Linked DNA regions of Macaca mulatta. The protein of the gene in region 5 interacts with the protein of the main gene of each other region in a biochemical or structural test. Links are inferred from orthologs where the notes say so. Each region holds a gene or a part of one and is shown on either strand. Other genes may lie near its edges. The genes, in order: RACGAP1, KLHL9, CDCA8, CENPA, AURKB and KLHL13.

What was found.
Region 1: of the proteins of AURKB (region 5) and RACGAP1, one has a biochemical effect on the other in vitro, tested with the Homo sapiens proteins (2 studies listed by BioGRID and IntAct). The link is inferred for Macaca mulatta from reciprocal best matches to the Homo sapiens genes AURKB and RACGAP1.
Region 2: the proteins of AURKB (region 5) and KLHL9 form a complex in vitro, tested with the Homo sapiens proteins (2 studies listed by BioGRID and IntAct, with this or other methods). The link is inferred for Macaca mulatta from reciprocal best matches to the Homo sapiens genes AURKB and KLHL9.
Region 3: the proteins of AURKB (region 5) and CDCA8 form a complex in vitro, tested with the Homo sapiens proteins (3 studies listed by BioGRID, with this or other methods). The link is inferred for Macaca mulatta from reciprocal best matches to the Homo sapiens genes AURKB and CDCA8.
Region 4: of the proteins of AURKB (region 5) and CENPA, one has a biochemical effect on the other in vitro, tested with the Homo sapiens proteins (3 studies listed by BioGRID). The link is inferred for Macaca mulatta from reciprocal best matches to the Homo sapiens genes AURKB and CENPA.
Region 6: of the proteins of AURKB (region 5) and KLHL13, one has a biochemical effect on the other in vitro, tested with the Homo sapiens proteins (2 studies listed by BioGRID and IntAct, with this or other methods). The link is inferred for Macaca mulatta from reciprocal best matches to the Homo sapiens genes AURKB and KLHL13.

Annotation. Positions count from the first base shown.
Region 1 is NC_133416.1:57,169,041-57,172,540, forward strand, and holds part of RACGAP1 (rac GTPase-activating protein 1), read right to left. Parts: intron 3,460-3,500; coding exon 3,295-3,459; intron 153-3,294; coding exon 57-152; intron 1-56.
Region 2 is NC_133420.1:77,885,332-77,889,302, reverse strand, and holds the start of KLHL9 (kelch-like protein 9), read right to left. Parts: upstream 2,801-3,971; 5' UTR 2,230-2,800; coding exon 376-2,229; 3' UTR 1-375.
Region 3 is NC_133406.1:203,099,398-203,103,639, forward strand, and holds the start of CDCA8 (borealin), read right to left. Parts: upstream 2,801-4,242; 5' UTR 2,691-2,800; exon of another isoform or gene 2,594-2,690; 5' UTR 2,579-2,593; coding exon 2,485-2,578; intron 2,363-2,484; coding exon 2,234-2,362; intron 1-2,233.
Region 4 is NC_133418.1:98,214,939-98,218,908, forward strand, and holds the start of CENPA (histone H3-like centromeric protein A), read right to left. Parts: upstream 2,801-3,970; 5' UTR 2,543-2,800; coding exon 2,449-2,542; intron 1-2,448. UniProt on the Homo sapiens protein: Histone H3-like nucleosomal protein that is specifically found in centromeric nucleosomes. Replaces conventional H3 in the nucleosome core of centromeric chromatin that serves as an assembly site for the inner kinetochore.
Region 5 is NC_133421.1:9,727,390-9,731,558, forward strand, and holds the start of AURKB (aurora kinase B), read right to left. Parts: upstream 2,801-4,169; 5' UTR 1,997-2,800; intron 1,342-1,996; exon of another isoform or gene 1,270-1,341; intron 812-1,269; exon of another isoform or gene 601-811; intron 1-600. UniProt on the Homo sapiens protein: Serine/threonine-protein kinase component of the chromosomal passenger complex (CPC), a complex that acts as a key regulator of mitosis.
Region 6 is NC_133426.1:124,576,252-124,580,191, forward strand, and holds the start of KLHL13 (kelch-like protein 13), read right to left. Parts: upstream 2,801-3,940; 5' UTR 2,698-2,800; coding exon of another isoform or gene 2,305-2,697; exon of another isoform or gene 1-2,304. Other genes in the region: uncharacterized protein LOC144338795, read left to right, coding at 2,305-2,697. UniProt on the Homo sapiens protein: Substrate-specific adapter of a BCR (BTB-CUL3-RBX1) E3 ubiquitin-protein ligase complex required for mitotic progression and cytokinesis.

The DNA.
Region 1 (3,500 bases), on a different chromosome or scaffold from region 5:
AAACCTCCTAATTAACACAAATAACAAATTCACCATCTCCTACGGTTGACTCTTACCTCAGTCAGACCTCTTTGCTCAATCTCATTTACACAATGCACAACAATGGAGGGGATCATTGGAGAAGTCTGGGACACAAAGTCTGCCAGCATTCCCTGGAAAAAAAGAGTTTTAAATTATTATTTACACCATGTAGACCAACAGATGAAGACGACATGTGAAGAACCACCTCCAATCTTATTCTCAGACTGGGACATCATGTCTACTTTTAAATTCCTATTCCCAAAGCATATATTAAAACAGAGACTATCAATTATTTTTCCTACCTCCATGCCAGGACTGATTTATTATCATATATACCACACTTTTTTTTTTCTCTTTCATATATACCACACTCTTATGTGAACAAGGAATAAGACCACCAGCTATAACTACCTCCTTCTCATCCACTCAAGGACAGCAGAAAAAAGCAATAATGAAGTTACAGGTATAGCCAGGCGCGGTGGCTCAAGCCTGTAATCCCAGCACTTTGGGAGGCCGAGACGGGCGGATCACGAGGTCAGGAGATCGAGACCATCCTGGCTAACACCGTGAAACCCCGTCTCTACTAAAAATACAAAAAACTAGCCGGGCGAGGTGGCGGGCGCCTGTAGTCCCAGCTACTCCGGAGGCTGAGGCAGGAGAATGGCCTAAACCCGGGAGGCGGAGCTTGCAGTGAGCTGAGATCTGGCCACTGCACTCCAGCCCGGGCTACAGAGCAAGACTCCGTCTCAAAAAAAAAAAAAAAAAAAAAAAAGAAGTTACAGGTATAGCCTTTAATATAAAATAATTTATTACTCTAAACGGATTTTTTTTTTCTAACAGAAGAACTCTGGAATAAGAGAAAAATAATTTTTTATGCTTTCATTATCCTCAGTAAAAAAAATTACTTAACACATCTTATCACAGTTGATCATGACACAAACCTACCTGTAGGGGAGAACTCCATGGTTCTATATTAAAGTACAGAACATGTGTAAAAAAAAATGTACAGGTGGCCAGATGCGGTAGCTCACACCTGTAATCCCAGCACTGTAGGAGGCCGAGGTGGGCAGATCACCTGAGGTCAGGAGTTTGAGACCAGCCTGACCAACATGGAGAAACCCTGTCTCTACTAAAAATACAAAATCAGCCAGGCGTGGTGGCACATGCCTGTAATCCCAGGGAGACTGAGGCAGGAGAATCGCTTGAACCCAGGAGGTGGAGGTTGCGGTGAGCTGAGATTGCGCCATTGCACTCCAGCCTGGGCAACAAGAGCAAAACATCCTCTCAAAAAAAAAAAAAAAAAAAAAAAAAAAAAAAAAAAAACCAAAAAAAGTACAGGCATGGATAAGAACTTGTAGGATTAGGGGAAAATAACATTTGATTTGCTGAAGAGTAGGTAGGAAGGTAGTCATTTTGATTCTTGCTAATGTTGCTTACATAATAAAATTTTTTTTTTTTCGAGATAGGGTCTTGCTCTATTCCCTAGGCTGGAGTGCAGTGGTGTAATCATGGCTCACTGCAGTTTCAACCTCCCCACCTTAAGCAATAGTCCAACCTATCTCCCTGAGGAGCTATAAACACAGGCATACACCACTAATCTGGCTAACTTATTTATTTATTCTTTGTAGAGATGGAATCTTGCTTTGTTGTCCAGGCTGGTCTCAAACTCTTAGGCTCAAGTGATTTTCCTGCCTCAGCCTCCCAAAGTGCTGAGATTACAGGCATGAGCTACCATGCTCAGCAATAATTTTTTTTTTTTTTTTTTTTTTTTGAGACGGAGTCTCGCTCTGTTGCCCGGGCTGGAGTGCAATGGCCGGATCTCAGCTCACTGCAAGCTCCGCCTCCCGGGTTCACGCCATTCTCCTGCCTCAGCCTCCCGAGTAGCTGGGACTACAGGCGCCCGCCACCTCGCCCGGCTAGTTTTTTGTATTTTTTAGTAGAGACGGGGTTTCACCATGTTAGCCAGGATGGTCTCGATCTCCTGACCTCGTGATCCGCCCGTCTCAGCCTCCCAAAGTGCTGGGATTACAGGCTTGAGCCACCGCGCCCGGCAATAAATAATTTCTTAATGGATTTAATCAGTTTGGATTAAACTGGTTAAATATTTGGAAATAAGCAACTTAATCTTGATACCCTATTATGAAGTATGTCTAACATAAAAGCAAGAATAAAAAGATAATTTTATCACAGATAAAATTATATGATAGCTGAGATTTGCTTCCAAGTAATTCATTGGACAGAGTTAGGAAGAGGCAACGACAGTATTGATAAATCAAGAACAGACATAAAGGCTGGGTGCCGTGGCTCACACCTAGAATCCCAACACTTTAAGAGGCCAAGGCAGGCAGATCACTTGAAGTCAGGAGTTCAAGACCAGCCTGGCCAACATGGCAAAACCCCATCTCTACTAAAAATACGAAAAAATTAGTTGAGCATGGTAGCACACGCCTGCAGTCCCAGCAACTTGGGAGGCTGAGGCATGAGAATCACTTGAGCCCAGGAGACAGAGGCTGCAGTGAGTCAAAGTTGCAATACCACACTCCAGCCTGGGCAACATGGAAACTCTGTCTCAAAAAAAAGAGACATTAAAAAAAGAATGGACATGGCCGGGCACGGTGGCTCATGCCTGTAGTCCCAGCACTTTGGGAGGCTGAGGTGGGCGGATCACTTGAAGTCAGGAGCTTGAGACCAGCCTGGCCAACATGGTGAAACCCCGTCTCTACTAAAAATACAACCAAAAAAAAAATTAGCCGGGCATGGTGGTGGTACATGTCTGTAATTCCAGCTACTTGGGAGGCTGAGGCAAGAGAATCACTTGAGCCCAAGGGGGCAGAGGTTGCAGTGAGCTGAGATCGTGCCAGTGCACTCCAGCCTAGGCAGCAGAGGAAAAAAAAAAAAAAAAAAGAGAATGGACACAAGTTAGTAGTCATGGAAGTTAAGTGATAAGAACCAGGGGTTAGTTACACTAATCTCTTTAGTTTGATATATGTCTGAAATTTTCCAAAATGGGATGAAGGGGAGGAAGGAAGGGAGAAGAGGAGGAAAGGAGAAGCAGGGAAGAGGAAAAAGGGGAGGGCAAAGAAGTTTGGTTTAGAAAGGTATTAGACAGACAAACCCAAATAGGACTCTTCAAGTAAATATCTTACAATTCTATTCATTGTTTGTGGAAAGAAATATATTTGAGATCATTAATTTTAGAACAAAAACTGATACTAAGCCTTTGAAAGGCGAATAAAGAGGCCGTAAAACAATGACGGCTCGTATAAGTCATACCTCTCCAATCTTGACAGGTGTTCCTATCAGGGTAGGAATGCAGGGAAGGGGACAGCGGTCCCGACATTCTGGATGAGAGACCACACGACAGTCTCGGCACTTCAGAGATAATTTGCCAAATTTTATCCGCTTTCCACATGGAACACAGGATTCAGGTTTAATAACCTGGGATAAAACAGAGCAGAAGAAACAGAGTGATATGAATT
Region 2 (3,971 bases), on a different chromosome or scaffold from region 5:
GGCAACCTTTCGTTAATTTTAGGTTACAGTGACCTCCCTCTGACATTTTGGAGTCAAAGATGAAAACTCGACTTTGAAGCATAATGGACATAATTACACATTTACCACAGTCATCTACAATTTTATATAACATCACAAAAAGACATCTAAACATTTTTCTACATCTTTTTTTCTCATTTGTTAAAACAGCTAGCTATGTTAAATACATCTTCAGAATGCATTTGTTAGTCACTTGATAAACATACTAAAAGCCAAACAAGACGAATAACATCAGTTACCTTTATATCTAATAACTGTACCAATCACTGTAAGAAGATACAACTGAAGAAGTATTAGATCACCCATGATGTACTGCAAAGGTGTTACACCTTAGACCTAAGAATGATCTGAAGGTGCTGAAAGAGGTGATTCTCTAGAAGGTGACCCAGGGTTTTCTTCAGGTGGAAAAACTGTGAGTGTACAAGCTCGAATGCCACCAAGTGACTCTGGAAGATCAAAAACTTTATGCCACTCATCTTTTTCTGGGTCATATTTCTGGACAATTTCTACCATACAACGATTATTCCAAGAATATCCACCAACAACGTAGATTTTATTTTCAAAGACCGCAACTCCAACATCACTTTGGCCTCTTAACATGGCGGCAATTGGGGTCCACTGGTCAAGGGTTGGTGAATAGTATTCACAGCTTAGAACATCATCATAATCACTTGTTCCTCTGAAGTGATTGCCGCCAATGACATAGAGCTTATCTCCAACCGTACACATGCAATGCAGACCTCTGACTGTAGTCATTGGAGCCTTTTGCATCCACTTATCTGTATCTGGGTCAAAACACATAAGCTCATTTTGGAAAGTGTCATGGGTAATTCCTCCTGAAATATACATTAAGCCTCCATATACTGTTCCAGCATGGCCATAGTGGGGTTCACTCATTTTTGCAACATAGCTCCACTCATTCATTCTTGGGTTGTAACATTCTACTGTGGCCAGTTCACCAGCTGCACTGCGCCCACCAACTGCATACAAATGTCCTTTGAGGGCACTCAAGTGAAAGAATGTACGCTTTTCATTTAATGATGCAACCTGCATCCATTTATTATACCGAGGATCAAATCTGAAAACTGTATCAACAGCAGTTTTTCCTTTTGTATCATAATTACTTTGACCACCAACTACATAAAGAAAGTTTCCAATGACAGCAATACCATGCTGGTAACGGGGAGCATCCATCGGGGCTAAAGATCTCCATTCTTGTGCCCTTTCATCATACATTCGTAATTCTTTACTGACAACCAGCTGCTGCCTCAAAACTCCTCCTAATGTAACCAAGTGAGTGGAGTCAGATCGAATGGCAGTTCTATCTGACTGCATCACTGGCTGCATATATGGCATCATTTGGTAATTGCTGGCTTCCAAAAGCAAATTCACGCAGGTATTGTCTGTTCTCATGAAATCTACTGTCTGCACGTAATTGATGAGATCCTGTGGTGTCATCAGTGGGAATCGAATATTCTTCATTAATTTTGCAGCATAATCCATCCGAGGGTCTTCCAACCTTAGCCAGCGACAGGCTGCCTTAAAGAGTTCGAGTTCGGTACAGTGCTTAAGACTATTACTGGAAAGCACAAAGGCAAGCCGTTCAAAAGGGAGTTTTAGAAACTCCCCAGTACTCAATAAAGCAGGAAAGTTCTTCAGGATGAAATTATTAACATATTTATCCACTTCTATGAGATTGTAGGTGTTAGCAATTCGTCCAACCTCAACACAGTTATCTAAAGAGACTCCTGATATAAGAAATACTTTACAGAAATCCAAAACGGGTAATATTTGTAAAAAACTAGCAGCTTCAAGTGTGTCCTGAAGATTGTCCATATTAAGAGAAAGTTTTGCAGTATAAATAAAATCAATGATTTTCTTCAGACCAACCTTGTTCACCCCATGAAGCTTAATGCACATCAGATCTTGTTCTTTCATTCCACCTGTGAACATAGCTTTGAAATAATCACTAGCAGACGCCATCATAGCTCTGTGAACAGGGAAGATTTCATCTCCATCACCTGGTACCAGAGTCACATCACAAAGCAATCCTTCTATTCTAAGCTGATCAAAGCCTTGCAGTACCACCGAACTGTGTGTATTGCTGGTAAAAAAGCGTGTGGTTCCTGCCTTACAAGGCTGCAAATGGGCAGAGACGCCCATTTCGCCGTTACCAAGGGACACTTTCATGTGAAAGCTTTCCTCTTGCACAGAGATGCAAGCCGGAGAAAGAAGTTATAACCGGAATGTTTTACAGGCAACGAGGTGTCCACAAAGAACAGAAAGCTCGTTTCCTTATCAAGGGAAGGCAGCCACTGCGGCACCCCTCAGGCCACGCCAGTCAGTCATCCACTGAAAATCGCCCTGTAGCAGGACCACAAAGGGCTGTGGACCTCAAATCTGATTATTAGACAGATGATTCATCACCTGAAGGCGGTTAAATGACCCGGTTCACCTCGTCCGGCCTGCGCTGCCGCTCCTTCTGCAGTTCCGCTTCGGGCAACGAAAAGGCGCCGCCACGTACTGTGGCTCCACGGCCCGCTCGGCGGCGGGTCCGGGAACCTCAGCGAACGGCCCGCTGCGCCCTCCGCTGTACCTAGAGTGTCGCAGCGGCCACCGACCTGTCTTTGAGCAAGGACCTGGAACACAGGCCTGGGACTGGGCTTGGGCCTAGAATACCGGCCTAGCCCCGACGCCGAGCCGCTCCTTCCGGAAAAGCTTACTCCCAGGATCCCGCGGGGTGGGAGCGGCCGTAGCGGCTACTGCGGCTGCGCGGCCTCCAGAGCTCGTCAGTGGGCGGGCGTGTGGGGGTGGGGAAGGGGGAGGAAGTGTGCGGGAGGCGGGGAGGGCGGGGGTTGAGGAAGACGAGCTGTCTGGAGTGGGCGCGAGCCCGGCTCCTTAGATCTGCCTTGTATGTGGGACAAAATAGGACAGAATGTGTGCACGTATATTATGCTGCATGTTTGATGTAAGTTTTTCACATATCTGAGCTCTTACGTTCCCCAAATGCATACATTTTTTAAAACTTTGCAATTCCTAGTTTCTGTTTTTTTGAATAACAGTGAAACGCGGCTTTTGTATAAATTGAGAGGAAACCTGGATGCTTAATTTTTTTTTTCCTCTACAAAACAATAATTGTTATCCCACATTATGTAATAGATACCTTAGTTACAATTTTGGTTCGTATTTTCAAATTTGTTATAATTTCAAAGGCAAAATATTTGTCTCTACTAGATTGTTACTTTATTATATAAATGGTATAGTCTAAATTTTTGGCTTGAAATGCCTTTGTTTTCCATAATTTTAAAAATGGCTACATAATTTTTCAATAACATACTATAGTTTCCTTTGCCCATTGTTTGTTCCTGAATATGTACCTTCTTATCCTCCATTGTTTTATAGAATCTGTAGTAAATTTACAGAATCTGGTAGCAAAATTTTAGCCCTGTTATGGATAATATTTAGTAAAATGCTGATCCAAGACAGTATTTCCAAAATATTATCATGAGCAATGTTTGTGCCTTTCCCTTCTGCTGACTTTTCCCTTTTTAAGTATTTTATTAATTTACATTTCTTTAATTAGTGGTAAATTTAAATTTTGACATACAAATCAATGTATACTTTGACACAGTTTCTTCCATTTTCCAAATTTTGAAGTTTATGTCTTTTAAGTCCTTCTAGTTCTTTAAGTGTGTGCAAAGTAAGAATAGTCATGTTTTTATTACACTCTCCTCATTTTTATGTAAAAGATAGCATACCATGTACACTGTTCTGCATTTTTCTTTTTTCACTTCAAGATCTTCCTGAATTACTATAGAGAGCTTATTTATATATATATATATATATATATATTTTTTTTTTTTTTTTTTTTTTTTTTTTTTTTTGAGACGGAGTCTCGCTGTGTCGCCCAGGCTGGAGAGCTTATTTATATT
Region 3 (4,242 bases), on a different chromosome or scaffold from region 5:
AAATTTAGCAGTCAATAGAAGTACAGTAAATGTGTGTTGAATGAAAAGGTCTTTGTGAGATTTACATGTAGAATAAAAAGTTAGGTTAGATCCTCCTGCTAGAAACCCTCACAGTATCTTGTAAAACAGTTAAGATCTCAGGCTATGAAACCAGAATACCTGGGTTCAAACAGACTATTCCACTAACTAGCTTATGAGGCCTTGAGCAAAGTATCCAATTTCTCTGTGCCTTAATCTTGTCATTTAGAAAAATAGGGATATTATTAGTTATGAAGAAAAATTAGTTAATATATGTAAAACACTTGGTACAATGCCCATCCGGCATAGAAATCACAATATGCTCACTGACAACTACTCTATTCTATCTCCTTTGTAGTACCTATACTTTTAATTACATAATTGTATGTGGATTTTTCTAATAGCTCTTTTCTACTAACCTGTATGTTTCTGAAGGCAGAGACAATGTCTGTTTTATTCCCCAGTGCATCTTTAGCACCTAGCACTGTGACTCACACATGCTCAGTATTTGTAGAAATGAGCAAATGAATGGCTTAATATTAATAAATAAAAGGACAAGTCAAAAGGATCATTCAACGTCTAATATGTGAACAGAACATGCATTTCTATCCAGCAAGGAGACTACATGCTGGATAATTAATAATAAGGAAAACTTTTGCAACCCAGCAGAAAAGTACAGCCTCCTGCATTTCTCTGGACATTTAATAAGGGAGTGGGGAAGCAGGCTGGGATTTTTCTCTGGCCAGGAAAACTGATGTGCCTTTTTTTTTTTGAGATGGAGTTTCATTCTTGTTGCCCAGGCTGGAGTGCAATGGCGGGCTCTTGGCTCACCGCAACCTCCACCTCCCAGGTTCAAGCGATTCTCCTGCCTCAGCCTCCTGAATAGCTGGGATTAGAAGCATGCGCCACCACACCCGGCTAACTTTTTTTATTTTTAGTAGAGACAGGGTTTCTTTCTTTCTTTTTTTTTTTTTGTGAGATGGAGTCTCTCTCTGTCGCCCAGGATGGAGTGCAGTGGCCGGATCTCAGCTCACTGCAAGCTCCGCCTCCTGGGTTTACGCCATTCTCCTGCCTCAGCCTCCGGAGTAGCTGGGACTACAGGCACCCGCCACCACGCCCGGCTAGTTTTTTGTATTTTTTTTAGTAGAGACGGGGTTTCACCGTGTTAGCCAGGATGGTCTCGATCTCCTGACCTCCTGATCCGCCCGTCTCGGCCTCCCAAAGTGCTGGGATTACAGGCTTGAGCCACCACGCCCGGCCGAGACAGGGTTTCTCCATGTTGATCAGGCTGGTCTCGAACTCCTGACCTCAGGTGATCTGCCCGCCTCAGCCTCCCAAAGTGCTGGGATTACAGGCATGAACCACTGCGCCCAGCCTGATGTGCCCATTTTTAAGTTAGCAATTTCCATAAGCTGCATAAGGAGCTGCTTTGGGTTATTCTTTCATCTGAGCTCTGGTTAACTAACCATGTCATTTATTCATTCATTTTTAAATGGGTTGGGTAAAATATACATATTTTTTAAAAATACTATTTTCTGGCTGGGCACAGTGGCTGACTCCTGTAATCCCAGCACTTTGGGAGGCTGAGGCATGCAGATCACTTGAGGTCAGTAGTGCGAGACCAGCCTGGCCAACATGGTGAAGCCTCGTCTCTACTGAAAATACAAAAATCAGCAGGGCATAGTGGCAGGAGACCGTAATCCCAGCTACTCCGGAGGCTGAGGCAGGAGAATCACTTGAATACAGAAGGTGGAGGTTGCAGTGAGCCAAGATCGCACCACTGCACTGCACTCCAGCCTGGGTGACAGAGTGAGACTCTGTTCCAAAAAAATAAAATAAAATTCCTGATGTGTGAAAATTATGTGAAATTCACATTTCAGTGTATCCACAACTAAAATTTTATTGGAATACAGCCCATCCATGCCCATTCACTATAGCTGTTTTGGACCTGTAACAGCAGAGCTAAGTTGTCCGACAGAGACCCCTCCCACCGGCTCAAGTAGCCTAAAATATTTGCTACCTAGGCCTTTAGAGAAAAGGATGGAGACACATGACTTACGGAAGTGAGACAGAGAGTGAAAGGGTCTGCAATTTTCCATAAGTGGTCATGTCAGATTTCATTAAAAGGTGACATCTGAGCGAGTCCTTTCTGAAGGGTGTTACCTAACCCCACGGGGCTCCCGGCCTCCGCCCAGGGAAGCTCTCCAGCTCTTACCGAAGTAGTCAAGCCAGTTCATCTGGCGCAGCGCCTTGGGGAGCCGCAGGATCTCGATGTTGTAGAGGTTATCCACCTCCTTGAGGAGGTTCTGCCTGTCTGACTCAATTTGCTTGATTCGTATTTCCACTGCGGGAGGGCAGAGCCGACAGGACACGGGTCACGGGGCGGGTGAATGTGTGCAGCTCGTGTCCCCACCCGCCAGCATCCCGCGACCGCCCCAGGAGGCCGCGACGGCCTGGCCCCTTTACCTTCACGGTCGAAGTCTTTCAGAAAGGAGGCGAGCTTCCGCCTCCGTAAGGAGTTGATCTTGGCCACCCGACTACTGCCCTTCCTAGGAGCCATGGCGCTCGGCGGAGGCTGCGGGGAGCGGCGGAGATGGGGCAGGGAGGCAAGGAACCAGGTAGGGACCAGGAGGGCGGATGGGGACCACCCGAATAAGTCGCCAGGCACGTACCTCCGGTCTCGCGACAAGGACTGAGTAAAACCTCGCTATGCCAGTGAGAGAGAGCGGCTCTACCGTCAACCGCCACCTAATTCAAACTCCACAGCCACAGGCTGACGAATGAGAAACCGCCGTCCCACAGTATCCAATCACAAGCAAGTTCCTACCTGCCCGGGGTCTCCCGCCCAATGCGCTCCCTATAGCCGGAGTGCGTCAGCGCGGGCGCCGCCGTCGCGGGTGCTCCTGGGAGTTGTGGTCCAGGCTTGTTTCCCCGCCCTCCCCACCAACCCACCCGGCTCCGCCCTGGCCGGCTGCAAACTATACAAACTGCGACTCCCGGCAGGCCTTGCGGCGGGTCCTCATTACCCCAATCTCTGGAGGGCTAGGAGCGGGCTAGGTCAGGTCGGCTGTAGGATTCTGCTCCGGGGCCGGCGGCTGCTTCTTCCAGGCCTGGCTGCCACTGAGTAGCCGAGGGGCCGCCGTGACACTCTGACTGATTGACTGGTTGGCTGCCTACGTCGGCGCTCCTCAGGGCCCCAAGCTCCCCAGGCCGAACTTGGGGCAAGTGGAGGGTCGGCGGAGACAGAGCAGCCCCGACAGGGTTTGGAAGGGGTCGAGGCGGAATGACAGGGGAGCGGGGCCGGGGTGCAGGCTTTGGGGTGGGCGCGCCAGCCCGTGGCCAGTTTGGGCAGCGAGTGGGGAGAACCCTCTTGTTCCTCGCTTGCCCGCGGGGCGGCCACTCCCGTCCAGTTCGCGTCTTGGCGCCTCGACTGGGTGTGCAGCGCGGGGCCGCGACTTCAGGTGCGAGTAGTGGCGCTTGGCAGCTGCCCACGCGGTGACTGCAGCGTGAGCCGCGGCCACCACACTCCAGGGAGCCCAGGGCGGGAGGCAGCTCTGGGTGTTCTGGCCGTGGGCCTGGGAATGGGCGTGTAGACCTCGAACCCCGCTGAGCCGCAGTCCTGTCGGAAGTGCTAACTGTGCATCTTTGCATCTGCCCACAGCCACAGGGTTGGATTGCTCAAGGGTTGTGCTGAGACCCAGCAAGGCTAGAGGCTAGTTTCGAAGCTGTAGCTCAGGCTGAGTCTCAAGGCGGGCGACGACTGGACGGCCAGACCGGCGAGCTCTTGACAGGTTTGTGGCCTGATTGTTTGGATTTGGTGCTTTTCACCTGTGGATGCGGAATGAAGCCATGTCAGAGGGGTTGTTTGTGTTTAAGCGTGCATGTTATAGGCTATGGGAGTGATAATCTTGCCTCTCCCCCTCTGAGTTCAGGAACAATCAAAGAAATAAGCAAAGGTGCCAAGCAGGCTCCTGATGGGCACCAGCGAGCTTGGGGACAGAGCAGTCCAAGCATAGAAACCCTGGCAAGCCTGGCCCTTCCTAGAAAGTCCTTTCTCTCTCTCTTCCACCCTGGTTTGTTGCTCCATATACAAAAAATATTTGAATGTCGCTCTTCCGCCCAAGGTCAGCCCTGGGCAGTGGGTGGTGGGGGTGACACCCGAGTCTGCTGGGTGCCTAAGGATCTCCATCAGTTAGATGGCCAAGATGAGAGGGGACGACAACC
Region 4 (3,970 bases), on a different chromosome or scaffold from region 5:
GCTGTTTTAAAAGGAGAGCTATGAAGGGAAATAGAGAGAAATGGGAGGTATAGGGAAGTGAGAATGTGGGGTCAAGGAAACACCCCTGCCCTTTCTCTTAAGATCATAAATATGGTTGGGAGCGGTGGCTCACACCTGTAATCCCAGCACTCTGGGAGGCCAAGGCAGGCGGATCACTTGAGGTTGGCAGTTGGAGACCAGCCTGACCAACATGGTGAAACCCCATCTCTACTAAAAATACAAAATTAGCCAGATGTGGTGGCGCATGCCTGTAATTCCAGCTACTCGGAAGGCTGAGGCAGGAGAATCACTTGAACCCAAGATGTGGAGGTTGCGGTAAGCCGAGATCACCGTTGCTCTCTAGACTGGGCAACAAGAGGGAAACTCTGCCTCAAAAAAAAAAAAAAAAAAAAAGATCATAAATACTAGAGCACATGTGCCAATGCCAGTGTTAAGTGTCTGGATTTATCTAAGCACAGGTAGAAAGCTCCTTTGTAGGTGAAAGAAGGATATGACCAAGACCCCATGTAGAAGGAGGAAGAGCTTTGATAGGAAGGGGGACACCTAGTCAAGGCCATCATTGGCTAAGAGTAGGGGGAATGGAGCTGTAGGAAGTCGAGGAAGGAGAAAAAGGTATGAAATAGTCATGGGGAGAATGGAAAAGCAAGAATTCCAGACAAAGGGCAGGCACGATGGCTTTTCTTTGTAGAGACAAAACAATTTGTCTCTACAAAAAAGCTTTAAAAATAGTCAAGCATGGTGGTGCACATGTCATCCTAGCTATTCGGGAGGCTGAAGCAAGAGGATTGCATGAGCCCAGGAGGTCAAGGCCGCAATGAGCCAAGATAGCACCACTGCACTACAGCCTGGACGACAGAGTGAGACTCCGTCTCTAAAACTGAAGAAAGAATACCAGACAAAGGTGGTAGGACTGCCAAGAAGTGTTGACTGCCCATTTGAGATAAACCTTCCATTTGATCAGGAGTAGAAGGATGCTTCTACCTTGGAAAGCAACAGCAAACATCATACTTCATATTCCCGTTAAAATTACAAATAAGACAAAGATGGCCAAAACACCACTCTTAGTGAGTCTCAGGGCCTTACTAATACCATACAATAAGAAATAAAATGTTTAGAGACGAAAATGAAAGATTCTAAAGTTATGTGCAGATGACATAATAGTCTACTTAAAAATTTCAATTGAAGCAACTAAAAGAGACTAGGATGAACGAGAAGTCAGCAAGTTGGCTGGATGCAAAGGTTAAATGCTTGTGTTTTGGGAAAGAAAAAAAATCCCATCCGCAACAGCAACATCTAGAAACAACCTACTCCAGCCTAGGCAACATGGCAAAACCCCATCTCTACTAAAAATACAAAAAATTAGCCGGCATGGTGGCATATGCCTGTAGTTTCAGCTACTCGGGAGGCTGAGGTGGGAGAATCACCTGAGCCTGGGAAGTTGAGGCTGCAGTGAGCCCTGATGGCATCACTGCACTCCAGCCTGGGCGATAGGTCTCAAAAAAACACAAAAAAACAAAAAGCCTATAGGCACAGTGGCTCATGCCTGTAATCCCAGCACTTTGGGAGGCCCAGGCAGGAGGATCACTTGAGGATCACCAGGAGTTTGAGACGAGCCTGGGTAACATAGGGAGACCGAGTCTCTATAAAAAACAATGAAACAGACAAACTCTACAATACACTTCCCATCTTCTTCCTAGCTATGCAGCAAGAGTTAAGAGATAAGTAAAGCAGCTGTTGCCACCGTGTACCACACAGGCATCTGCCTCCTCCTGCCCTTGGGTCTCCCATCCACCAGCCTACCACACAGACAATGAAGACACAGACTTTGGCCCCTCTTTCCCCGGACACAAGCTCTGGAACGCAACAGCGTGAGCAGCGCAGAAGGCCTCGGTTCGAGGCCTAAGAGCCTGTCCCGGAAGGGGAAAAAAAACCTGAAAGACACCTCCTAAGAGGACTCCTGTTTGAAATCGTCACCGAAAGCAGTCAATACTTGTGCAATCTAAAAATGCACAAACACAGAGGATTGGAAATCCCGTGTCCGCCAGAACAAGTTGTGTGACTCTGCTCAAGCTCCCTGGCTTGTGCCTTGGCTTTCTCATTAGCTGTAAAATGGGCACGATATGAAGCTGAGATAACGCACGAACAGTGGGACGCAATGCCTGGTTGGCGGTGGGCGCTGGGTAACCGCTAGTCCTAACAAGAAGACGGCGTTAGGGGCCAAGTGGCTGCGCCGGTCCCTTCACGCTTTCGGAACCGCTTGCTCCAGTCCCTCGCAGGGCTGCCACCGCCCGTGCCCGGAGCGGATGCCAGACGGCGGAACCGCGTTGTCCCCCAGCAGGGAAGGCCACGGGATCGGGATTCGGGAGATCCGGGCTCCGCCTGCGAGCCTCGGTTTTCTCCTCTACGAGATGGGCCGCGGCCAGTTACCTAAGGAGGGGCCCCGCCGGGAGGGGCCGGGGGTCGGGCTCGGGCTGCGCCTTCTCGGGGCCTCGGGCTTGCGGCTCCGGCGGCGCGGGCCCATGTCACGCCGCGGAGGGTGCCGGCGCCCGGCCCCACGGCTCCTGCTCGGGCGGCCGGGTCCGGGGGCGAAAGGCTGGCTTCTGGGGAGCCCAGAGAACGCTGGGCCGCGAGCCTCACAGGAGCCGGTGCTTGGCCGCAGTCCGCGCCGCTCGCGTTCAAATCGCTCGCTCCGCCCACTTCACCGCCGGCGTTTTTTAAAACCCGAATCCAGCGACTTCCAGTGGCTGACTCTGGAACGCCCCTTACGTAGAGCGACTGCAGGTAGGACCAATGAGAGTATGAACAAATAGCGGCGATGGTAGGAGGATAGGGGCGACTGATGGTAAAATCAACCAATAGACACCTAAAGAAGTAAGAGGGGGCGGGAAATTCTCCTGCCCCTGCTTGCCAATCTGGGTGCTGGTGTTTGCGGGACCGTACTGACGTCCTCAGGTGCCCTCCAGTCAAAACACCGAAGCTCAGTTCGGAACGTAGATGGTGTGTTTGTAGCACGTGCTTTTCTAGACAAGTCACTTTCCTTAAACATTTTATGCTTTGCCCTAGCAACGCAGAGACGACTTTTAAAGACGAGGAAACAGACCCACAGAGAATGTGACAACCCCATGTCGTGTCTGCGACCCTTCCAGGAATTATCCACAAATACACTCAGAAGCCAGTTCAACTGCGTGAACTTCAACTGCTGATCCTTGGGGTCGCGGGGACGGCGGGATCAGCGGAGCTTGGGTTCCGGCAGGGCAGGCCTCGGCACTATAGCAACGCAATCGTCCCAGAAAAACGCTCACTTCCCTTTGTTGGGGATAATAAAAATTCAAGTCCTGTCCCAGTATGTAGAGTAAGGAGAATTTTAATTTTCTAAATTTTATTTCTTGCATTTTCTAAATGTAGTACAGTGAACATGTAATCAGGAAAAAAGTTAGTTATAAAATTAGTGATTTCATGGAACCCTTGTGCATTGCTGGTGGGAGTGTAAAATGCTGCGGCTGCTGTGAAAAATAGTATTGGTGGTTCCTCAAAAAATCAAAAATAGAATTACCAGATGATCCAGTAATTCCACTTCTGGCTAAATATCCAAAAGAATTTAAATATAGCCAGGGACTTGAACAGATATTCTCACACCCGTGTTGATAGCGGCATTCTTCACAACAGCCCGAAGGCAGAAACAGCCTGAATGCCCATCAACAGATGTATGGATAAACAAAATGGGGCGTATACCACAATGGGAATTCTGACACCTGCTGCAACATAGATGAACCTTGAGGACGTTATGCTAAGTGAAATAAGGCAGTCCACCAAGGGACAAATGCTGGGCCGGGGTGCGGTGGTTCACACCTGTAATCCCAGCACTTTGGGAGGCCGAGCTGTTCAGATCCCTTGAGTTTGAATCCAACCTGGCCAACATGGCGAAACCCCATCTTGCCGAGTGTGGTGG
Region 5 (4,169 bases):
TAAAAAGGCTGGGCACGGTGGCTCACACCTGTAATCCCAGCACTTTGGGAGGCCCAGGCGGGCGGATCACCAGAGGTTGGGAGTTCGAGACCAGCCTGACCAATATGGAGACACCCCCTCTCTACTAAAAATACAAAATTAGCCGGGCGTGGTGGTGCATGCCTGTAATCCCAGCTACTCGGGACGCTGAGGCAGGAGAATCCTTTTGAACCCATGGCTGGAGGTTGCGGTGAGCTGAAATAGTGCCATTGCATTCCAGCCTAGGCAACAAAAGAGAAACTCCATCTCAAGGGAAAAAAGATACAAACAAACAATAATAATTGAAAAAAATTCTTAAAAAATTTCCATACAACAGTAATTTTTTTAATTTTTAAATTTATTTTTACTTTTATAGACTTTAGGGGTACATGTGCAGTTTTGCCTCAGGGATATATCACATAGTGCTGAAAGTCTGTACCCAACTGAAATTGTACCCAACTTCTGAATAACGTTCACATTTGTCTCATTCCCCTCCTATCCTTCTACTGAGGAGGTTTTTTTTGTCCTGTCCCTAAAAATGTCACCGTAAATCTATTTGATTAGGGAAAACAATGTTTGGTTTGACCCCGACGTGATTTGAACACGCAACCTTCTGATCTGGAGTCAGACGCGCTACCGTTGCGCCACGAGGCCTGCCCGAGAGGGTGACTTGAGGGGTCTCTTGAACAGCAATAAGGGGAGGACTTTTGTCATGAAGCCGTATCTTTAAGATTTGTCAGCGCATTTCTGCGAGGCACCAGCTGACGAGATGTGGGCGCACGTACGTAGGAATCTGAATAAATAATAAAGAGGCAAATTGTGTTTAGGCGCATTTGACTTAGGGCCCAGTTCCTTAACTTGAATCACATTGAGCTCATTGAGCCCACTCTACAGAGAAGCGATTTTTATGCGTCTAGGACTCTTTTTTTTTTTTTTTTCTGGAGATGATAAATCATCATGATGCCGCTGCAGTTCTCGCCCCCTGGAGAGATCTTAGATGTAATCCCAGCTCTGCCGGTGACTCAACTTCTTTGGACCTTGGTTTCCTCGTCTGTAGACTGGGCATAACCCTACAGGTTCATGTGGGGTGGCGCGCACTAGCGGTAAAGGTCACGCACAATTGCGCCGGGCAGACGACAGCAGCCATTACTTTTACCTGGATCTCGCTGATGCTGTTTCCCTGGCTCCGCACGGGTCCAACGCGACTCACCGCAATCAACATGAGGTATGAAAGAAAACAGCAGTACCTAAGCGTTGGTGGTATAGTGGTGAGCATAGCTGCCTTCCAAGCAGTTGACCCGGGTTCGATTCCCGGCCAACGCAAGTGCATTTTGAATTTTTTTTTTTCCCTCTTTTCTTTCTCGTGTTTTCTGGGCCCCACCATCGTTGAGGATTTTCGTGAGGTTTTCCTGAGGAACCGTCCTCTCCGAAAGAACCCGCTTTCCGCTACACCTGCGACCACTGCCGGACCACCGCGCTCCTGGCGGATGCGCCCTGCAAGCCCCTCCAGGTGAGAGCAGCCTGTCGGAATTTCGGCCCGGGGTTGCCTACTGTTCCCGGATCGCAGTGCGAATCCACAAAACGCAGGGAGGTGAAAGGAAACAAAAGCCCGGGCTCTGCACCCTGGACAGCCGGGGGCCAAATGGCTGCTTGCCCAGGTTCAAGCAGAGACTGGAAATGCGCACTGCCGTCAAGGAGGGAGCAAGCTAGATCAAGTTTGAGCACTAATGAACATATTGAGCGGAGGAGATAGTGGCCACTTTAGGTACACGTTTGAACTCCAAGTTGCTTGAACTAAAATGGAAACTTAGAATGCGAGCTGGAGAGGTAGGCCAAACTTTCCTCCCCTCCTCCTTTCCCTCTTTTTTCTAGCTCCATCCCAGGGGCCAGGACGGATTTAATGAAAGCAAAATCATTTGGATTCTCCCCCTCGGGGAATGGAACCCCGGTCTTCCGCGTGACAGGCGGGGATACTCACCACTATACTAACGAGGAGTGACCCGTCAATGGTCGTCTCCAAATCCTTGATCTGGGACTTTACACTCGGCTTGCTGACAGCAGAGTTCCTAAGGGTTCTGTTCTTCCGACCACCGAGAAAAGCCGACCAGAAACTGTAGGTGTATTTCAGGCACCCATCGTCAGACGGAGTGACCGAAAGAGACAGAGTACCTCCAGGGCTGCAGAGAACCAAGTTCTGACAGTTCCTGGGCTCTCCCGAACACTGTCATCCACAACTATAGATTGATGGGTGTCAATCAAACCGAAACCAGGCTGTAGTGGCGGAGTTGAGACACCACGCAGGAAGTCAAGAAGCAGAAAGGGAGCGTCCTGCCCAAGTCTGGGCGTGCCTCGTCTCTTCCTGACATGCCAGGCGGGTCTGGGGACTGAGATTCTTTCTGTTACCCCGGTGCCACAAAAGAGCTTACTGTACATTGATGATTTCCAGTGAAGCCTCCTGCAGCGCTGGTCAGGTAACACATTCCTTGAAGACACTCTTATTTCAGCAAAACGTAAAGGAGGGCTCGTCCGGGATTTGAACCCGGGACCTCTCGCACCCGAAGCGAGAATCATACCCCTAGACCAACGAGCCGACGTACGAATGCCGTTGCGAACCGCCCTAGAGGTCGTGCCAGGCTAGCTGTAGTGCCGGGTCCACTATGCATGGCAGAACGGTCCTGGCGCCGCTCAGGAACCAGCCTCCCCCAAGCCTAGTATTTTGGAGCACGGGTCTGGGAGTCCCTTGGCTCTGGGCCGCCAGCTCCAACTCCTCCCAGGAAATAGCGTCGAGGAAGTGGAAGGGAGTGGCCTCAGCCTAGCCCCCGCGCCGCCCTGGAGGACTGCCTTGAACACCCGGGTTCCTGCTTCCTTTGGTCACCGACTCGGTGCCATTCCGTAACCTGGGATCTTGACAATTCCCGCCTCCGCCTGCGGTCCTTGGACCTAGTCCTTCGTTGCAGAGCTTTGAAGAGAAGCGGTGGAGTTGCTTGCTTTCGGGACGGGTCGGAGACAGTTAATGAGCCTTGAAATCACTAGGGGAACACCAGTTCCCCGTGTCTGTCTATCCTCCTGGGCTAACGGGCAGGGCAAACCCCGGGCCAGACCCGTCGATAGACTACGGGTTCCCCAGACCGCGTGGCAGTGCCCAGGCGAGGGAAAGAGGGAACGATTTCTGGGGCCCAGGAGACCCACGGTGGAGGGCGTTATTGATCTGGGTGACTGGAGTGGGACAGGCTTTCCACCCTGCAGTGGGGCGGGGCGCAAGGCCAGGCGACTAGTCTCGTGGCTTCTGGACTGTAAGATCAGGTTACCCCTACCCTCCGGTCTAACCTCTGCTCTCCAGTCCCCTCCTAGAATGGCCTAGAAGGAGACCTTCCTGCCTGCCTCCTAAGACCCCCCCGAAGGCTCTGAGGCAAGTGGCCTCACGAGTGTGGTCTAAGACCTGTAGACCCGGTTTGGGGACTTAGCAGTACTCCGGAGCTGCCCAGAGTCCCAGAAGATCTGGTGGAGTCAGTAGCAGACCACGTGTTCTGCCTTTCCTCAGCTCAGTGCCTGTTCTGGGGAGTCCTCCCCGCGGGGTTCTGGCCTGCATCGGTCCTGGACCAGCCTGGTAGCATCTCTGGAACCATTTTGTTCTACACCCCAGTTATGTGATTTGTGGGGCCAGGCCGTTCCTAACGCCCAACCCATAGATACGTTGACGGGGCCTTCAGTGAAGGATTCAGCTCCTATTTGTCCTTTCCCAGGTGTCCCTGGGCAGACAGTGGGGAAGGGCAGAAGTTAGCCCAGTCTTTCCCATTAGTGTCCTAAGTCTTTGAGACGGGTAAAGAGGTTCTCAGGGCTGATCTGGCATCTCCTCCCCCATCCCTACCCTTTTCCAATTCCTGTCTCCCTCCCCTTGGGCTCCAGCTTTCTCTGCAAAATAATCCAGTCACCTCTTTCTTCCCTGGTCTGAAGAACTTAATCTCTGCAGAAGGGGAGGCCTAAATCCTTTATGACCCTTATGAAAGCTATGACCCTCTTCCCCGGGGGCGGTGGCTCACACCTGTAATCCCAGCACTTTGGGAGGCTGAGGCGGGTGGATCACAAAGTCAGGAGTTCAAGACCAGCCTGGCCAAAATGGTGAAACACCGTCTCTACTAAATATACAAAAA
Region 6 (3,940 bases), on a different chromosome or scaffold from region 5:
TCTCTAGGGCTATTCATTTCTCTACAGTCTTTCCACATTTTCTGAAATAATTCCTGGAAATTTGTTGTATTATTTCATAGCAATAAAAATACATCGGTTTCAATCAGTGGATTTAAGAAAAAAATATTTTCAAGAGGTTTTAGTGGCTTACCAAACATCAATAAAAATCAAACAATTTGAAAATTGGTCAGTCTCATTTCACTACCGCAAGTCAAATTACATGAAGAGAATGTGAAATGTAAATAAAATGAGAAAGAAGATAATCCAATAAATAAGTGCAGTTACATTTAGTAATAACAGAAATATCTAGTCTGATAATCTCTAGGTGTACCAGATGGACTATCAAACACATATTGAGTCATATTGAAGATTCAGAGCAAAATGTTTATGGCTAATTCACATCCACCTTTATTCTTTTCCTGGCAAATACAGTCTTACTATGCAATCACATTACTAGCAATCTTAGCTTAGATTTTGTATCAATAACAATCATGAAAAGAAAAAAGTAAGAAAATAGTATAAACTCTTTTCCTTGAAAAAGTTGTAAGTTTTTATGTCTTTTGAGAATGGTTTGCTAAGAAAATTACAGATTTAGAAAGGTGGGCCTATTAGAATAAGTACCCTTTCCCTACTACATTCCATTTTTTAATAAACCTCAAGTAAACCCAGGAATTTACCAAATCAATTGGGAAACTACAAATCATCTGCAAGTTATCTAACTAAATGGATAAGCAATAGGCTTTACTTTTCTTGTGAAAACTACTTTCTTCAGAACATCAACTAAGCCTTATATAATCACACGACACTTTTTGAAGTGTGTTTATAAAAATGGCAAATTAAAAACCTTGGGCTTTTTAATAATTGAAGCTCTTATTTATCTGTTTTTTAAATACATCATTTGATGCTGCAGCAGAAACTACTCTCATCTCACTGCCATAAGAAGTGCCACCGGGACAGTGAAATTTAGCCATTATCTTCATTCACAACCTGGTTTCTTCTGAGATTGCTGCCAATTAGTGCACACTGTGTCAATGGCAACACTAGGTCACACATCAGGCAAACAACTCTTTTACCGTTAAGTATGAGGCTATTAATAAGAACTTGCAGTTAAGGGAGCTAATATTTTTAGATGTAAAATGATGTCATAAATGCTGAATTATTTCATTTTTCTCAGTTTTTAAATTTGAACACTAGATACAGCCTATTTCCAAAAACACAGCTGCATATGTCAGCATGTGCTTGTTCACTGGTATTTGCCTCCACTGTGTGCTTCTCCATTCAGTTTTCTTCACACACTAATTGCAGTATGGAAGTGAGCAAATGAACCTCAGTATGGGAGCTAACACCACAACTACATGGGGAGAAAGTGATATCCCTAAGAGTGAGTAGTCTTTTTTGTAACTACGTGGTTTTAAAATACGCTGCTTTTAGACGGTTTATACAAATATGAAATCTACTGTTAAGAAACTGTGGCTTCAAAAAAATAATAAATTTTTTAAAAAGCAGGTGCTCTCCAGAGACAGTTTTAAATTCCAGCGTTTCTTAGTCTCCATTCAATGTGCTTAGTTGCCAGCCTATGCTAACTTGAACGACTTTATCCCAAACCACTAAAGTCCTCTGACTACATTAAAACTATGAACATCCCAGTTTACAATTAGAGAAATGGAGCCAGGCATCACAAGCCCCACCAATCCTCTCTCTCAGGCCTGTTCAGCAGCCAGGGAATAATCAGATTTAGGACCATGTACGAAAATTGCGTACAAACATATATACATACATTTTAAGTGACTATTGTTCTTGGGCTAAGTTAATGAAACCTAGAAAGAAACTTTAAAGTTCCCTAGTTGATATTTACTAAGGCTATTTAGTGAAGGGATGATCTCATCACTTTCAGTAAACTGTAGCCTAGACTATAAGCCTCCACGAAAATCATTAGTCAACTGTGATTAAACAAGCAAACAAAAAAAAAGTCAAAATATTCAGAGCTGAAGACATTCAGAGCGAAGTTAAAAGCTTCGAGGAAGAAGAGGAGTGTGCTCCTGACTTGGGAGCCAGGAGAGGAGCCTCCTAAGTAAGAAGCTTCTGAAGGAAGAGATGGATTAGGAGGCACAAAGCAGAAACTGTTAGAGGGCAAGAGACAGTGGGGCCGGGGCGGGCAGAGGGACCCCAGACCGTCAGGGCAGCAACAGCGAGGCCCAGAGAAGAAAATCTTGGAGAGATGACAAAGAAGCACAGGAAAGCCGGCTTCTGGGGTCCTAGAAAAACCCAGGCGTCCGACGGAGCCAGAAGGACCGGGAGAACGGGATGCGAAGGTGTAAGGATGAGGGCGCGCACCAGCACGCGGGAGAAAAAGAGGGGGCGGCGGGCAAAACGAAGCTGGTTCCCTGCTCCTCTACTCCTCTGCCCCTGGTACAGATCGCAACTCCTCGCCGCGCACCGCGCAGCGCCAGGTCCGGAGGCAGGGAAGCGGCTGATGGAGCCCCTGTGACTTCGGGACCCTGCCTCACCTTGCTCGCCGCGTCCTGGCGTCGCGCCGCTTGTCCGCCGGGTGCTGCGCTCCGAGGGCCAAAGAGGGAGTCTCGCGGCGCAGCCGGGGCTCCCTCCTGCTGCGAGGCACCAGCACCCGCACCTTCGCACCCTCTGCTAGTCCCGGCCACTTCACCCTGTCCTGGCGCAAGCGGAGAGCACGGACCCTAACCCGAATGCCGCTCCAGTTATTTTCAAAACTCCCCGTTCCAGGCTTCCCGGGAATAGGAGCTGAGCTACTGCGGCCGCAGCGGCAGAGCCTCCGCCTGACCTCACCAGGGTGTGGGGGGGACTGCTGAGGGAGGGGGGGCGGGAACCCAGTTGGGGAGGGAGGGGGCAGTGGGGGGAGGGAGCGCGCGGGCGGGGGAAACATGGCGGCGGGGGTGGCCCCGGCGGCGCCTGCGCGGGAGGCAGGGTGGCGGGGAGCTGTGGCTAGGACAGTGTGTGGGGTCCCAACGGAACTCCCGGGCTGTAGCCAAAGCTTGACAGGGCTGGACCCTGAAGCTGAATGACCGCTAAGTGGCCCTCACGCCTCCGAACCCGGGAGGGTCGAGTGTGAGCCCACATGGCTTCTAGTGCCGGGAGGCAGAGAAAGTGAAAAGTGTCAAGTATCCAAGGACAACAGTGCAGCCGCCCTGGGTGAGCCACTCCAAGGAGGTCCACCCGTGCATTCTGCCAGCCGTGGCCTCGGCCTCCTCATAGTCACGGCAGGGCCCCGGCAAAGGGTGTGCTCTGGAAGCGGTGCCACCTCACCTCAGTGGGGCCCACGTCTCAAAATAAGCCTGACCCAGGCTCTCACACAAATACCACTCTTCTGGTGGGATAAGCGCTTCATCCCTCCCCCTCCCTGCTGCAGTACACAACATTAAGAAAGAGGAAGGATAAAAACTACAAATAACCGTTTAACATTTTACTGAGCGTCTGCTATGAACCAAGCACTGAAGCTTCAACTTACCTAATTCACAGCTACTCTGTAAGTTACACACTATTGTCTCCATTTTACAAGTGACAAAACTGAGGTGTATAGGTTAAGCAAGTTGCCAGAGGTTACGTAAATAGTGACAGAGCGGGACTCAGGATCCCAAGCGGTGTGATTCTGGCACCCAGGCTCTTAACTATGCGACCTGCTTCCCAACTCTGGTGGGACTGCTCTTCTAAGTCAGAATCTTGATTCTGTTCTATCAGCCTAGCCCCCAACAAAAACCCCCGTCAAGCCTGTTTTTCCCCTTGCTTGTCTTCTATTCATTCTTTGCCTTCTTGACGGTTACAGCCTGGGGCCACCTTCTTACACCTCTTCCTTTGCCCTTCCTTGCCTTTCTACTTATAATTCCAGACTCCTCCTTGGGAAAATAAAGGGAGTTTGCTCTTAGCAACCAGTTTAATCACTGTTGTGATTTTTTTCTTTGGCTGTTTT